Diceros bicornis minor: one gene and its partner. The protein of the gene in region 2 purifies or fractionates together with the protein of the main gene of each other region. This does not show direct contact. Links are inferred from orthologs where the notes say so. Each region holds a gene or a part of one and is shown on either strand. Other genes may lie near its edges.

What was found.
Region 1: the proteins of CLK3 (region 2) and HSP90AB1 purify together in Homo sapiens (affinity purification with mass spectrometry; 3 studies listed by BioGRID and IntAct, with this or other methods). This does not show direct contact. The link is inferred for Diceros bicornis minor from reciprocal best matches to the Homo sapiens genes CLK3 and HSP90AB1.

What each region holds. Positions count from the first base shown.
Region 1 is NC_080753.1:21,617,721-21,625,773, reverse strand, and holds the start of HSP90AB1 (heat shock protein HSP 90-beta), read left to right. Parts: upstream 1-4,982; 5' UTR 4,983-5,078; intron 5,079-6,539; coding exon 6,540-6,686; intron 6,687-6,985; coding exon 6,986-7,192; intron 7,193-7,292; coding exon 7,293-7,452; intron 7,453-7,601; coding exon 7,602-7,735; intron 7,736-7,858; coding exon 7,859-8,053. UniProt on the Homo sapiens protein: Molecular chaperone that promotes the maturation, structural maintenance and proper regulation of specific target proteins involved for instance in cell cycle control and signal transduction. Undergoes a functional cycle linked to its ATPase activity.
Region 2 is NC_080744.1:67,562,755-67,570,756, forward strand, and holds the start of CLK3 (dual specificity protein kinase CLK3), read left to right. Parts: upstream 1-4,966; coding exon 4,967-5,068; intron 5,069-8,002. UniProt on the Homo sapiens protein: Dual specificity kinase acting on both serine/threonine and tyrosine-containing substrates. Phosphorylates serine- and arginine-rich (SR) proteins of the spliceosomal complex.

The DNA.
Region 1 (8,053 bases), on a different chromosome or scaffold from region 2:
CAATTTTAGGAATGAAAAAGGAGACAGAGCAGAGATTAAAAAAACAAAGAGCTTTCAAGAAACCTCCAGAAAAATTATTAAATAAAATTGACTCAAGGAAAACCTGAATAGTTTTATACCATTAACAACAAATTGAGTCCTTAGTTAAAATGTTTCCATACAGAAAACAACAGACTCAGGCAGTTTTATAGGTGAGTTCTATAAAATTTTAAAGAAATAGATCATTTCTGTCTAATATTAGTAAGTCTGTTAATGAATTAAACATATAAATAGATTAAAGAGATTTTTAAAACAATATTCTCAGTAGATGCAGAAAAATAATTTTGATACCTATTCAGATTAAAATTTATAACAAGTTAGAAATAGAAAGAGTAAATATTGTGCTCGATGGTGAAGTGTTAGAAGCATGCCTTTTCTGATCAGAAATGAGGCAGGGATGTCCAGAATCACTGTTTCTACTCCTCACTGTTCAGCAGGTCTTAGCTGGTTCAGTATAACAAGAAATAAGAGACACAAGGATTAGAAAGGAGAAACCAAGCTGTCTTTGTTCGGAGATGATAGATAGGGTTATACCTAGAAAACACCAAAAAACTGACAGACAAATTAAGAACTAATAAGCTAGTTAACCGAGTTCTGGAATCAATAAAGAAAAATTGATTGCTTTTCAAACTCTCCGGGAGTTTGGAGAGTAATGGTAAAAAATGGAAAAAATTTCCATTTACCATAGGGTCAAAAAAATATCGCACTAACAATAAAGTGAGAGAAAGTTCTGCAAGAGATGTCTCATGTCCCAGCAGAATGTGGAAACTGAGGCAAAGAGATGGAGCCCAGGCTGGCCGTGCAGAGCTGCTCAATTGTCGAACGTATGTGAACGTCAAGTCCAATGGCCTGTGAGGATGTCAGTTCAGGGTATTCCCTGTGGAATTCAGAGATGTAGGCCTCAGGCAACTGGGAAGGACCAGAACCAACAGGAACATCGGACAGAGCTGAGCTTGGGAGGCTGCTTGTTCTGGGCATTAAGGACCCACAGCTACTCCCCATGGTAATATAATCCCCGACGTCCTGATGCCCCTGGTTGCTTTATTCATCCATTGCCCCTTATCTAAGCTGCCCTCAGTGGCCTCCCCAATCCCCGTGAAAGGCCAGTGGTGCCGCTAACTAGGAGCATTCCCAGTTAGAGCAGCAGCAGGAGGCCTCTGCCCAGGTGAGTCTCTGCTCCCTTCCCTTAGCTCTAGCTAGATTGGAGGTCTGCTAACCTTTTCTGTAAAAAATAAGAAAGTAAATATTTCACACTTTGCAAGCTATGTGGTCTGTGTCGTAACCAGCAACTCCGTCATTATAGCACGAAAGCAGTCAAAGACAATGTGTAAACAATGAGTGTTGCTGTGTTTGAGTAAAACTTTATGGACACAGGGCTGGCCCCCTGGCTTAGCGGTTAAGTCCGCGCGCTCAGGCTCAGCTACTGGCGGCCCAGGTTCGGAGCCCGGGGGCGCACTGACGCACCGCTTGTCCGGCCATGCTGAGGCCGTGTCCCACATACAGCAACTAGAAGGATGTGCAACTATGACATACAACTATCTACTGGGGCTTCGGGGGGAAAAAAAGGAGGAGGATTGGCAATAGATGTTAGCTCAGAGCCGGTCTTCCTCAGCAAAAAGAGGAGGATTAGCATGGATGTTAGCTCAGGGCTGACCTTCCTCACAAAAAAAATAAATAAATAAAACTGTTTGAAAAAAAAAAAACTTTACGTACACAAATTCAAATTTCACATACTTTTCACATGCCAAAATATTATCCTTCTTTTGATTTTTTTCAACCATTAAAAAAATGTAAAAACCATTCTTACCCATAGGCCACACAAAAACAAAGACAGGCCTACCAGCTACAGGCAAGTTCGTCCATCCTTGCTTCATCTGGCCGCCCTCCAGCAGCAGAAGGTTGGGCTGGGTCTCTGAGGCCTGATCAGGAATGAAGGGTATCTTGAGAACATCAAGGGTTGCAAGTGCTGCTGGGAATAGGCTTCTGGAGATCCAGGGGGTTTTAAGCTGTCTTTGATAGCCTTCAGGGGCTTCCCTCACCCTAAGTTAAGGTCAGAACTTCTAAGGGCATTTGTGGCCCTCTGTGACCTGACCCCTGCCTGCAGGGCCACTTTCAGCTCCCCCTGCCTCCCTCAGGGGTTCCTGGGCTATGGTCCTTCTGTCAGGACTGTGCCTTTCCATGCTTTTCCCTCTCCTGGGAGTGGACCTGTGCCATTGCCTAGCTAGCCACAGCCCTAAGCCTGCCCCCTTCCCCAGGCTGAGCTGGGAGTCTCGGATGCTTCTCCCACATTGCTATGATTCACATCCCGCCTGCTGCAGCCTCCAGTGGCCTAACAGCTCTCTGTCCTGTTTGTGCATCTCTGCATCCCCAGGTGAGGCTCACAGCGGGGGCTTAGTGAGTGTCAGTGAATGGGAGAAGTCGTCCTGGAAGGCTTCCAGGAGAGAAAGTGGAATTTCTGTGCTGGGGCAAGATTTGAGACTTTCCCATTAAGAAACCCCTGAGGGCCAGGGCTGGCCCAGTTACATAGCCGTTAAGTTCCGCTTGGGTGGCCTAGGGTTCCTCAGTTCAGATCCTGGGCGCCGACCTAAGCACCGCTTGTCAAGCCATGCTGAGGCAGCGTCCCACCTAGAGCAACTAGAAAGATGTGCAACTATGACATGCAACTGTCTACTGGGGCTTTGGGGAGAAAAAGGGAACAAAGGAGGCAGATTGGCAACAGATGTAAGCTCAGGGCCAATCTTCCCCCCACATCCCCAAAAAAAGACTCTAAAGAAAAAACAAACCCCTGAGGAGTCTCTGGTCCCAGCACTGATCCACAGGAGTGATTCCTGCTCTGCTAAGGACTTGGGTCCTAGGAGGGGAGACAGCATCCCCACTCCATTTCTGGAGCAGGGAGCAAGGGAGTTAGTGGAGCAAAGGCTCTGAGTTGATGGACCCTGGGGTAGTCACTGGAGCCTTCCTTTCCCAGTTCACAGAACGTGCAGACTCACTTTCACCTCTTCACAGGACTGTGGGATGTTGTGAATGCTCTTTGAGCAGGGAGCAGATTTTTAATTGGCTAGGCCCCTTCTGCCCAGAGGGAAGAGAGAGGGTGTGTTGAGAGATGATGCTTCTGGTTTGAGATTTCCTTTGGGAACAGAACATCCTGAGACCTTCCTGGCAGCAGCACCCATGCACTTTCCCACACTCACTGACCCCTCCGAGCCTCAGGTTTCTCAAAGATCACAACGAAGGGGAGTAAAAGGGTAAGGAGAGATGAAATTGAGGTGATGGTGATGAAGTCTGGAGTGTGGGGCAAGAAAGAGGAAAGCAAGGGCCCTTTGTTCTTTGCAATTCAGCACAGGAAGGAAGAAAATATGAAGGAAGGGAGGCTGAACACCAGGGCCGTGACGGTGACGACGCCTGCGGGTGGGGGCGGGAATCCCTCCGCAGCATTCCAGGGGCAGGCAGAGTGGGCCAGGAGGGAGTTGATGGACATCTACAAGGTCAGAGCAGGGAGCGGCCCTTCTCTCGTGGTGGGGCTGTAGATCGGGTATGGTTCCGCACGATGAGGCCTTGGAAAGGCAAGGACAGCTTGCCAGCTGGGGGACACGCAAAAAGGGCAGAGCCAGGAGAGGCATGGAGTCCCGCAGCTCGGTGGGCAGGCGCACGGCCTGGGGGCCCCAGTGCCACAGCTGAAGGGGAACAACTTGGTTCTGGCCGCCCTCTGGCCAGCGTCTTCCTGCGGTCTCCAAGAGCCTCTGCCACCCTGCAGGGATCCCTGGAGACCCTGCCCTCCCCAAGTCTAGGCAGCTGCAGGAGGGAAGAAGGCGAAAAAAACGAAACAATTCTGAGAAACAGCTAGATGTGCTTGTGTAGGGAAGACGCAAGTCTCTGCGTTCCACACGAGTGGGCGGCTGCAGAGGCTGGGGAGGGTCCCTCCGGTAGCGGCCCCGTTCCCGGTCTCGGCTTGCTGAAGGCGGCGCCCGCAGAGCCGCCCCAACAGCCAGTGTGCTGTGTGATTGACGGGGAGAGGAGGGGTCGAGCAACCATTCCCTCTACGCTCCATCCCCGCCACGAGCCCGTCCCGGGTAGCTAAGCCTGGTGGGTGGGGAAGAGGGTCCCGCCTTCCGACTGGACCTAACAGTAAAAGGAATTGGGGTACCCTTTACCTCCCCGGGAACCATGGCAGAACGGTCGCGGGGCGGAGCCGCAGCACACGCCGCAGCGGGCGGGGCGGAGCCTCGAGGGAACGGGCGGGGAGGAGGCGGGGCCTCCGAGGCGGGCCTGGAAACTGCTGGAAGTAATCGCAGTACCGCCGTCGTCGCTCCTTCCGCCGCGCGCGGGCAAAGAGTCCCCCGCCAGCCTAGGCCGGCGCCCCTCCCCCAGCCAGAGCCACACCTCGTAGCGAAACGCCGGTCTTTTCCCCTGTCCCCGAGAGGGCCGGGACCCCGGGGCTGCCCATAGCTGGGCCTCGATTTCCGCACCGTCCCCGGAGAAAACCCCTCCCCCTTATCGGGATGTAGGAATGCGTAGGGCAGATTCTAGGAGAGAGGTCGAGCCTGGGAACGGAGGTCGGAGTGGTTGGCCGCCTCCACCCCTGTTGTTAGGTGTCCCTCGAAGGCGGGACTCTTGGGTGTCCTTGCCCCACAGATCTTTAGGGAGGTCAGTGGGACGCTGGCCCCTAGATCCACCGCTTATGTCACATGAGCATTCTCAATCTCTAGCTCAGGTGGGGTCATGCCTTGGAAGCGCTGAGACGCGTACGCTCTACATGCACACCAAGGACAGCTGCTCTCGCCTTTCACCGCCCCCACCGCTACTTTGGACCATGACGTCAAGGTAGGCGGGCGGCGGCAGGTGCGGGGCTGACAGGCATCCTCCTTTAGAGCGGAGGGATCCGGGGGCGGGCAGCTGGGCTGTGCTTCGCCTTATATAGAGCGACTAGGGGCGCACAACCGCTCTCTTGAGTCACCCCCTCGCAGGCCCGTTGTGGCGTGTGAGCCGGCCACAGTCTGCCCACCTTGCTCCTGTAGTCTTTGCCATCCTTCCCCGTTAAGGTAAGGCCGCGGTTTTCTCCTTCCGGCGTTTCTGTCTTGAGCCCTCTTTCGAGTTGCTTTCGTCCCCCCGTCCTTTCCAAAGGCCTAATTTTCTTCACTGGGGCGGCCTTTAGGATACCACTCCTCCTGATTTCTCTCGGAAGTGGGTGGGAGGGACCCCTCGAGGTTGGCATGTTTTTCTCCTATGCTTGGGTGGCAGGCCTTCTCTCAGGCGGCGACTATCTACGGGCGAGATGGGCCTCGGCGTGGGGCTGGGTAGTGGGCAGCTGCACGTGGTGGCCGCGCCGGCCCGGGACGCTGCCATGTTTGCTCCTCCACTTCCGGACGCGACTACGGGGCGCCGGAGGGTCCGCAAGGGTCGTGGGTGTGCGCGCTCGGCGTGACTCAGCTCGGCCTGGTGCTGGCCTGGTTTTGCCACCTCTTGTATGAGACGCGTTTTTCAAGTCTAGTCGGTTCCTTCATGTGAGGGTCCGCGACGAGGAACGCTTTCGATCTCTTGTGGCCCGTCGTGCTTTCTCCTTCCAGATCTTTCTTGCAGTCCTGGTGGAGGAGGAGGGGAGGGGGCAGGCTCTGGGAGATTAATGGGCTCTTTGCTCCCCCGCCCCTCTCCGAGAGCTGAGATTGTTCTGGAAGCTTCTGGAGCCCGGCGCCCCGCCCTGGTGCTCGGATGCTGGGGCGAAGGGAGGCTGCGCGGCGGCGCCCCCTCCTCGTGTGTCCCCGGCCGACGCATGTCCGGCAGTGACGAGGGTCGGCCTGGTGGACCACGGCCACCATCTTAGTTGTGTTTGGTTTGGCACTCTACTTTGGTCACATGTGTTGAGGTGTCGCGATGGAGCTTTTGCTTTATCGGTTCTTTGTCTTAATAGCACCCTGGGCGGGTATCCCACTCATCTTAGGGGTTATCCTCCTCTAGTGTGTGAGGCTGCAATGTCACTTTCCCTCGACGTAGGAGATAATCTAGTGGGAGAGCAGTTTCAAATCATTGCCGTTTTAAAAGTAGTCACGTTGGGTTTTTTTTGCCATGTCAAAAAAGGTAATACAATTGTAGTTAGTGATTTCCACATTGAAAGGTGCGTGTGGATTATCTGGGACTCTCTCTCGTTCAAGATAATCTGCATTAGGTGTAGTCTTACAGTTCTAACAAAGCTCCTAGGTGATGCTGAGGCTTCTGGTCCATGGACCACTTAGAGTAGTTTGGATCCAAGATACTTTCCAAAAGACCTGACCTCATATTTTGTTGAACATGTTGGTTTTTCTGTTCTCCCAATTGGTTTCCCGCTGAGGGTGCAGCCTGAAATCTTTTGAAGGAAAGGGTCTTCAGTCTCTTGAGAATGGATACCAGGCAGCTCAAAGCAGTTTGAACTAAATCTCTTCATCTTCATTGTGACTGGGGTGAACTTGAGGAGTCTTAAATTTGAGATCATGGTGTTCTTTAGTAATCCTTGACCATTCTTATTTTAGATGCCTGAGGAAGTGCACCATGGAGAGGAGGAGGTGGAGACTTTCGCCTTTCAGGCGGAAATTGCGCAGCTCATGTCTCTCATCATCAATACCTTCTATTCAAACAAGGAAATTTTCCTTCGGGAGTTGATCAGTAATGCGTCTGATGTGAGTGCTCAGAGCGTTGTCTTGGGTGTTGTTTTTTTTAGCACTCCAGAAAAGGGAAGAGGGGGTGGTTTGGTATTTTGTAGGGCCTGCTATTGAAGGGGATAAATCTGCTGCAGTTACAAAAGGGTTTGCCTTGTTCCACTTCGATAGAGAAGATATTGTAACTGTAACTGGTTCTTAAATGTCAAGGGATAATCAGAATTGAGGCTATTTGGGAGTAAAAATGGAAAAAGTTTTCTTTTGGATGAAGGGAAGGGCTTTAGGAAAGCAGAATTGTAAGTTGCAATTTATGTTTTCAGGCCTTGGACAAGATTCGCTATGAGAGCCTGACAGACCCTTCCAAGTTGGACAGTGGTAAAGAGTTGAAAATTGACATCATCCCCAACCCCCAGGAACGCACCCTGACACTGGTGGACACAGGCATTGGTATGACCAAAGCTGATCTCATAAATAATTTGGGAACCATTGCCAAGTCTGGTACTAAAGCATTTATGGAGGCTCTTCAGGTATGTGATATTTTAGCTAGGCAGGCACAATTCCTCATTATCAGTGTTCTTTAGCTTGCTATTTCTTCAAAATTTGTGTTTAACTTTTTAACTTTGGCAGGCTGGTGCAGACATTTCCATGATTGGACAATTTGGTGTTGGTTTTTATTCTGCTTACCTGGTGGCAGAGAAAGTGGTTGTGATCACAAAGCACAATGATGATGAGCAGTATGCCTGGGAGTCTTCTGCTGGGGGTTCCTTTACTGTGCGTGCTGACCATGGTAAGTAGGCTATCCTGTTGAGATATCTGGGTTAGAGTTCTGGGGAAGCCTATAATAGAGATTTTGAGCATCTTATCTATAAAGCAGTTATCTTTTGGTATAGTTCTGGGTTTAGTTTCATCTTTACTTCACTGTGATTGACTTTCTAGGTGAGCCCATTGGCCGGGGTACCAAAGTGATCCTCCACCTTAAAGAAGACCAGACAGAGTACTTAGAGGAGAGGCGGGTCAAAGAAGTGGTGAAGAAGCACTCACAGTTCATAGGTTATCCCATCACCCTTTATGTGAGTATGGGCTGGTAACTCTCACATGGATGATGTCTGCTGCTCTGGAAAATTGCATGGTCCTGATTTTTGTGTTTCTCCTAGTATTCTGTATTCTGAAACTATTGTCTTTGGTACATTCAGTTGGAGAAAGAACGAGAGAAAGAAATCAGTGATGACGAGGCAGAGGAAGAAAAAGGTGAGAAAGAAGAGGAAGATAAAGATGAGGAGGAGAAGCCCAAGATCGAAGATGTGGGCTCAGATGAGGAGGATGATAGTAGTAAGGATAAGAAAAAGAAAACAAAGAAGATTAAGGAGAAATATATTGATCAGGAAGAA
Region 2 (8,002 bases):
GTGACAAGCCCAGCCAGGGGCCCAGCTGACAGCCCAGCATGGACCTGTGCCTTGGCTTGTACACAAGGGACTGTGTCCCACAGCTCTGAGAGGCTGCCTGGCTGTTATCACTACAGGCACCAGATGTGCAACCCTCCACCTCCAGCTGGACCTGAAACACTTCAACTCTCTACTCCAGCTGCTGATGGCTTTGGAGCTCCCGCAACAGGACTGGGGATGCTGTCATGGAATGCCAGAAAGTGGGCAGGCATGAGGAGACAGGTTGTCAGCTGGGTCCCCTAGGTCACCTCAGGCCTGGTAGAGAGCAGTGACTCTAGGAGGGTCAGCTGTGGCTGAGACCCCCAGGTCACTAAAGGTTTCAGTATCTAGGCCATCACAGGGTGGCGCTGTCCACACCCTCACATGGGGTAGGGATGCTGGGTACCTCCCCTAGAAGCCTCAGCTTGCATAGTCCCCTTGCTCTCCCTGGGGACTGCAGCTTTCACCAGGGGCCACTGAGCTTCTAAGGAAACTCTTCTGTCCACTGAGCTAAAACAAGCCACCTCCCTCCAACTCTCTCTGGGGGAGGGTCTCCACAGGGACCACGGCCCTTCCTTTGCCTCCATCCAGTGCCCCTAGCCACACCAGGCATGCACTGCACACCTCCAAGGGGCGCCATTCACAGAGGACACTGTTCACAGCAGCCCTGTTGGGGACTTGATCCCCCTTGGTCTCCTTTGGATGCCCCAGACCCTGACAAGCCTCCTTCCTGAGAGCATGACACCAGGTGCAGTTCAGCCTGGTAAGGGGACCTTGCTAGCTCAGGGGACCTCCCAGGGGTTGCGGACAAGCCAGGCAGATCAAGGAGAGAGGACGGAGCCTCACTTTCTGCTTCAGAGCCAGCAGCTCATGCCGGGCCCTGCCAAGTCCTGCTCGCCCTCCTGCCTCTGCAGCACTTGCACTTGCTCCGACCGGGCCTCCAGTGCCGCCTGCAGGTGGCCAGCCAGCTCGGCCGATGCCACCTGCTCTTTGCCAGCCACACCCACAGGTCCTTCTCTGACCGCCTCCAGTCCCGCCGGGGGGGCCCTGTCTGAGCATCTCCCAGAAGAGAGGAGCAGTGCATGCCTCAGCCAGGCCCCGGGGCTGCTGGGCCCACCTTTCCCACACTCACCTGCGCCTTTCAGGGGGGCTCAGTGGGCAGGCACAGTCCAGTGGCCAGAAGTGACGGTGGGGACAGCAGGCGGAGCTGGGCATCTGGTGGGCTCTGCCTTAGGAGGTCCTGAGAGCAGGGCAGATGGTAGCCCCTGGAGCTGGCGCAGGCCTGCCCTCCCAGAGCACCAGCCGCTGAGGCCCCTACTCAGAGGTGGCAACTGAGCCCTGAAGCTGCGCGTGCACTTAAACTCTTCAACCCAACTCCTTGGCCCAGGATTTTCCCAGGTGATTCAGATTTCAAATCAACACCCCAGCCTCAGCTCTGCTAAACAGTTCTCAGTTTGAGCAGTTTCCAGGAGCTGGGTGCTGACTATGGCCTGGCCACTTGAACAACCAAGCTCACTTATTCTCTCGGGTTTGAGGAGGTGGGAGGGAAGCTCAGCAGGGGCAGTAGGTTGCCCCAGGTCATGCAGGGAGTCCACTGTGAACTGGGCCCACGCCCCCCCACCCCTGCTGCTCTCCTTCCCAGTGTGGGAGTCTGGAAATGGCAAGGGTCAGGGAAACATTTGGAGGACACCGTAGTTGAGCTCTGATGTGGGGGTCAGAATCCCTCACATCAAGTCATTGCTCTGGTACCTCTCTGGCTTCCATAACTGCAGCTTTCAGATGGGGGCCCCGACTGCCAAGCCCCACCAGCTTGGTAAGGGAACTCATGGGGTAGATAGGGGCTGCTCAGCTGGTGTTGCCCCCCACTCTACTCCTCCTTACCCCCACCCACTTCACCTCCAGGATTTAGGTGTCAGAATCCCGCCATTTCACCCTACCCACAGCCCTGGGCACCAGGCACCTGCCCCAGCAATGTGTGGGCTTAGGAAGAGGGCACCCCTGAGGAGAGGATGTACTGGGCTGAGCTCCCCCCACTTGACTTGCCCACTGCTCACATTCCCAGACCGGCTCCCTGCTCCTCGCTCAGGATGGCACCACCACCTACCAGGCCCTCCCCCCTCTAGACACCTTGACTGTCCTCTCCCCGGACTCTGGGCCCAGATTCCTGCAGCCCCCTCCTGAGCTGTCTCCCCACATTTCACCATCACACAGGGCCTCTCCAAAATGGACCATGAAGACTGGCCCCGCCCCAACCTGCCATGCCCTGGCGCAGCACACACAACTCCTGGCTGGCTGCTCTGTCTTCCCACTTAGAAGTGGGGCCTCTCCACGGTTGTCCCAGCCGTCACTGAGAACCCGAGCTCTGCTGGCTTGGTTTTGGAGGGGCCCATGGTCTGCTGGAGTGGGGAGTGGCACAGGGCAGACTGCCAAGCTTGTGCAGCCAGCACAGAGGAAAACACAGCCACCGAGTGCCGTGCAAGCACAGGAAAGGGGAGCCTGACTCTCCCGTGGGGTCCCCAGGAAGACTTCCCAGAGAGGTGACCCTGGGGCTTAGGCTGCAAGGTGAATTAACTGCCCCAGTGAAGGCACAGATGGATGTAGCAGAAAGGAGAGAGCAAGGGCAGCAGGACAAGGAGGGACCAGATGAGCTGGCGCCTGGAGGGGGCAGCGGGCTGAGCCAGGAGGGCAAAAGGGAGATTGAGAGGGGCAAGTGGCTGGTGGCAGGGCCCAGGGCAGGGGCATGTCCCTGGTGCCCTTGAATCATGCTGCAGTCCTCAGCCCACACAGAAAAGACTTGGTGGGCACAAGTGTTGAGGCCTGGGAAACAGCTTGGGCCTGAGGGGCAGAGGATTTCAGAGCAAGCCTCCTCCGGAGGTGGCCCACCCCGAGCTCCCCAGGCTCGAGTTGCCAAGGTGTCAGCCATCAGCACTGGAGGAATGAGGTGGGAGAAGGGGCCTGGGGGTGCTGGTAGTTACCCATACTTCACCTCAGAGTAGATCTTGGTGCCTATCTGATATTCTGTCTCTCTTTCTTCTAGGAATGAGTTCTTTTAGGAATAGAGACAAAAGAATGAAGGTCTAATGGTAAAATCTCAGGCGGGACAGCTGCTGGACTGCAGATTTTGGAGAGGAGTTGGGAGATGGCTCCTATGCCACTTCAGAAAAAGAGAGAACTGCTTCGTTACTGGGAGGCAAAGACGCCTGGGTTCTCGATGGTGGGAGGGCTGGTGGGAAGATGGGCCCCTCAGAGCCTGGCCCCCAGGGCAGGGCAGGGCAGGAGACAGGAGCCTCTCTGAGCTCCTCTGCCCTCAGCTGCCGACGTGGTCCTGGCTTCCAGGGGCCATGGAAACCGCGGGAAACACGAAGCGGTGGGAGGAGGAGACACCAGAGTCCTCCCACATCGTCTGACTGGGTGACACCCTGAGATGAACCCCTGCTAGAGTGGCCGCGGCCACAGACCAAGCATCGGGGCCGGGCAAGAATGGCAACTGGGAACCTCCGGCCCCTGAGGCGGGATCCCGAGGGCCGGGCTCTCGGTCACGCACCGCGCACTTGAAGAGGCTCCGGAATTGCTACGTTGGGGCGGGTGCATTTGGTTGGAAGGGGACCAGGAGCCGGCCTTGAGGCCGCGTTAGCGTAGCAAGCATCCTGTTTTTACTTAGCTTCGGTTGTTGACTTCGGTTGTGGCTAACGGAGATTTGAGGGGTACTAGGCACCCTCTCAAGCCACGCCTTCAGACCCCAGTTTAGAGGGAAGCCAGAGGCTAAGGACTCAAAAGACCGCCGCAACTCCGTGAGAGCCTCGGCGCGGGCCGCGCCCGCCGGGCGGGGAGACACCGCCTCGCGTCAGGGGCGTGCCCAGCCCTCATGGGGCGGGGCCGCAGGGGCGGCCCGTGCCCGCGGCGCTGGGGAAGCCCCGGCCACTCTCGCGGAGTCGCCCCGGGGGACGGGGCCTGTAGCGATGCCCCGCCCTCCTGCTCCGGCCCCTGCGTGGCGTGGGGGCAATTAGGGGCCGCTCCCGCCGGCTTCGCTGAGGGGACGCCAGCCCCGCCCGGCGGGGCGTGCACGCCCCGAACCGTGAGGTCTCGCGAAGGATTCGGCCTGTTTCCTCATCCGGAAAACGGGGGCCTCGTTATCCCGCCCTGACCGGCGCGGGACAGTCGGTGGGAGGGGTTTTGGTGATCCCACGCTCGCGACCTCGGCTGAAGGGGTCGTCGAGTGACTCGGCGCAGAAATGGCCGAAGGCCTGACGGCGGCAGGGCGCGGGGTTTATTAGCTGAGAACCATTGCTGGCCCGCTGACTGCGGTGCTCAAGGAAAGGGGCCCCCCCTGTAGCCCAGACCCCATCCTCCGAGGCCCCGCCGACGGGGCTCTCGGGCATCTTCCCAGACACTGCTCTGCATGCACCTGGAAGCTTGGGCGTGCCGCCATGGCTTTAAAACCCCCCCACACAAGGAGAATAAGGTCTCATTTGCTTCTTTCACGTAACCGGGTGATGACCGCCTTCCCGAGCCTCAGGCACAGAGCTCCATCCTCTTTAGCGCCCTCCTGGGCCCCGGCACCGGGCGAGCGTTCAAGGTCCACCCGGTTCTCACTGAGCCGACAGCGAAACAATGCCCTGCCCGCGCGCAGGAAGGGTTGGCGGGCACGGGCGGGGTCGGGGCGGCAGAGCGGGCCAGCCCCCGGCCAGGTCGGGGCTCCACCTTCCGGCTCCTAGCGCCCGCCGGCGGGGGACGGCGCCTCTGTCGCGTCTTTGGGGCCTACGTGCGTCGCGACACGGCGCGGGGCGGGCCGCGGCCTGGGACGTCCCCTCGGCTCTCCCGGAACCAGTCTCCACGACTGCCGCACCGACCGGGGCGGAGAAGGCGGGTCCTCCAGAGCCTTCGAGGCGGGGGCTAGAGCGGCCAGGCCACCGAGGCGGGTCGAGCCGGGGCTGGCGACGGCTGCGTCATGCGAAGGGCGGGGCCGCCACGGGCGGAGGCCGGAGCCGGAAGCGGAAGAGGCGCTCGGAGCTGGGAGTGGGGCCTAGCTGCAGCCGGAGCCTGGGAGACGGTGAGTGTGGGCCCGGGCCCGCGAGGGCGGCGGCGGCGGCGGCGGGGTCTGAGTCGTCGGGGCGGGCTCGCTGGGTGCGGTACCCCGGGCTCCTGGTTCGGTCTTGGCCTCCTCTCGTTCCTTCTCGTCGGCTCAGTTCAGGCCGCGGCCCCGACCTCTCACCCCTGACCCGCCACTTCTCCCCCGGAGGGCGGTCACCACAGACCCCGACCTCTCGATCCCGCGGTGTCGGAGTCCGAGTCTGAGGGGCCTCTGAGGTCCCTGCAGGGATCCAGTTTCGGCCCTGCACCTGCCCGAGGAAATGGGGTCGGGGTCCTACGCGGGATAGCCTGGAGGGGCCTTCAGACCCCACCCCCCCAACTCCCCTCGAGGCTTGTTCCGCAGACGACTCCTTCCTGCGCGTCCTGGCGTTTGATTCTGCTCCAGGCTGGCCTTCCTCCTGCCCCCCAGATCTCCCCTTGCTGCCATTGGCGGCGGTTACGGGCCACCGGGCTCTGGGACCTGAGGTGACAGGAAGGGACGCCAGCGAGGGCCGCGGGCTCCCTGCGTGTTTTGTTGTGATGGTGGAGCCGTTCCAGCCCGGGGGAGGGGCCTGGCCAAGCTGACGGTACAAATGCCCCGGCTGCTCTTCGGCCCGAGCGGCCCGGGAGTCTCTGTGCTTTAGTTCCGGGTGTGGGTGCCCTGGTGTGGAGCTGGGTTGGGGATTGCCTGAGCCAGGCCCCCGTCGAGGCGGAGTTGGCGGCCTTCCAGCTTCCCTTCTCCATGCCCTTGAAAAGGAGGAGCGTTTCACCCGGTGGTGGCAGCTTGCAAGGTGGCAGGTTTGAGGTTGCAGTGGTGGGGCAGCGTCAGCCAAAAATAACCATGGGGCGCTGGGGTGGTAGGGATCCGGGAGGGCAGCCGCTGACCTGGCTGGCTGCTCTTCTTGTCAGCCCAGTTCTCTGGCCAGGAACGGCAGATGAGAAGCCAGCTCGGCCTGTGCTCAGAGAAAAGCTGGCATCTTCCGCCTGGTTTCCTTCATATTACCTTTCTCTTCATTGTGCAGAGCAGAGCTCTCTGGAGCATAATTGTGGCCCTTAGCATTTTGAAATAACCCGTTTGCTGTGGTCTCAGAGAATCAGAGATAATTGATGAGAAATGGGCCCTAGGGGCCGGCCCCATGGCGCAAGCAGTTAAGTGCGCGCTCTCCGCTGCGGCGGCCCGGGGTTCGCCGGTTCGGATCCCGGGTGCGCACCCACACACCGCTTGTCAAGCCACGCTATGGCGGCGTCCTATATAAAGTGGAGGAAGATAGGCACGGATGTTAGCCCAGGGCCAGTCTTCCTCAGCGAAAAAAGAGGAGGATTGGCAGATGTTAGCACAGGGCTGATCTCCTCACAAAAAAAAAAAAAAAGAAAAAACAAATGGGCCCTAGAGCCCTGGCTGGGAAGATAATGAGGGGCATGTAGTATTTCCAGTGTTTCACTTGCCTAGAATGTGTTAAAGGAGAGGTTATTTTCTTTGATTGCCTTGTGTGTGGTACTTCATAGCTCTCATACTTGTCATCTCCTTTGCCAAGTTGGCTGGGAGGTGGTGGTGTCTCCATTTTCCAGGTATAGTAACCAAGGCCTAGAGTGACTTGTATAAGGTCAGGAGGCCAGTAAGTGGCAGCACTGGGATTTAGTTTAGGGTTTTCTACTTAGAGCCTGCACCTTCACCCCCCCAACCTTGGAAAGGACTTTGGAATCTTTTTAATGTTGTTAACGAAAAGCTGCCTTCAGTACTTCTTGTGGGCCCAGACCTGTGCTAGGCATTTGACCTGAAGGCATGTGCTAGGCATGTACTTAAAGGAGTAACATAATTTAATCTTCACAGAACCCTGTAAGAAATTACTATTCCCTTGTTGCAAGAGGAAGCTGAAGGTCAGAGTAGTCTAATAACTTGCCTAAAGGCACACAGCGAGAAGTGGCAGTGCCAGGATTCAGATTGACATCTATCTAACTCTGAAGACGTCTTCTCTCCACTAATATCACCATGTGTGGACATAAGATCTTCTAGGTCCCAGGAGGGAGTCTTAGGCCTAGGACTAGACCATGTCCTCCAGCTCTGTCTGTGCAGTCAGGATAGGCAGGGCGTCTGCCCTGGCTACTGGAGCATCTTCCATGTCACTTAGTGAGTGAGATGTGAGATAGCACCTTCATTCCATAGCTTGGGCACCTGACCAGGGTCATTGCAGAAAAACAGTGAAACATTAGTCAGCTGAGCATCAAAACAGAAGAGCAGTCTAAGCTCTTGAGGAGTTGCCAGTGATTTTACATAGTATTTGTCTCGAAGGATCACGAGGGCCTGGACTTCCAAGTAGACAGGGGAAGACACGTGCTAATGGGGAAATTGAGGGCAGTGACTTTCTCAGGATCAAGGAGAAGCTCCCAGGGGTTTGGTCAGATATGCCTTGCTGTCATGCTGTTCCAAGGGGAGACGTTGTGCTCTCCTCCTGACAAACCCTTCTCATGAGATGGGGCAGCCTCACTGGGTTTGTCCAAAATGTGCTTGGTCAAGCAAGCCCAGGACTGACTACCACTGGAGGTTGGCAGAGAGGCTGGCCACGATCTCTGGCCCAGCCTTCCCCTGGAGGCAATGTCAGGGTTTTGGCTGTGGGTGGAACAGGGAGCTGGCCTCACATAGCCATCTTTCTCAGCTGGTAGCCGATCCAACCTGGCAATTTCCTGTGGTGGGTGTAAGTCCCTGCTGAACAGGGATAGTGAGGTGGGGCCCTTTTGGCCTGCCTCCCGAGCACAGAAGCCTGCCAGACAGCCAACCCTTTGGCTACTCCTGAGATGGGTGCAGGAGAGGCTACTGGAACAGGGGAGCTAGAAGAAGGGACAGTAGAGGTACTGTCGGATAGAGGTGAGGTGCTGCCTGGCATGGCGCTGCAGTGGTCTGAGAGCGCTAAATGGG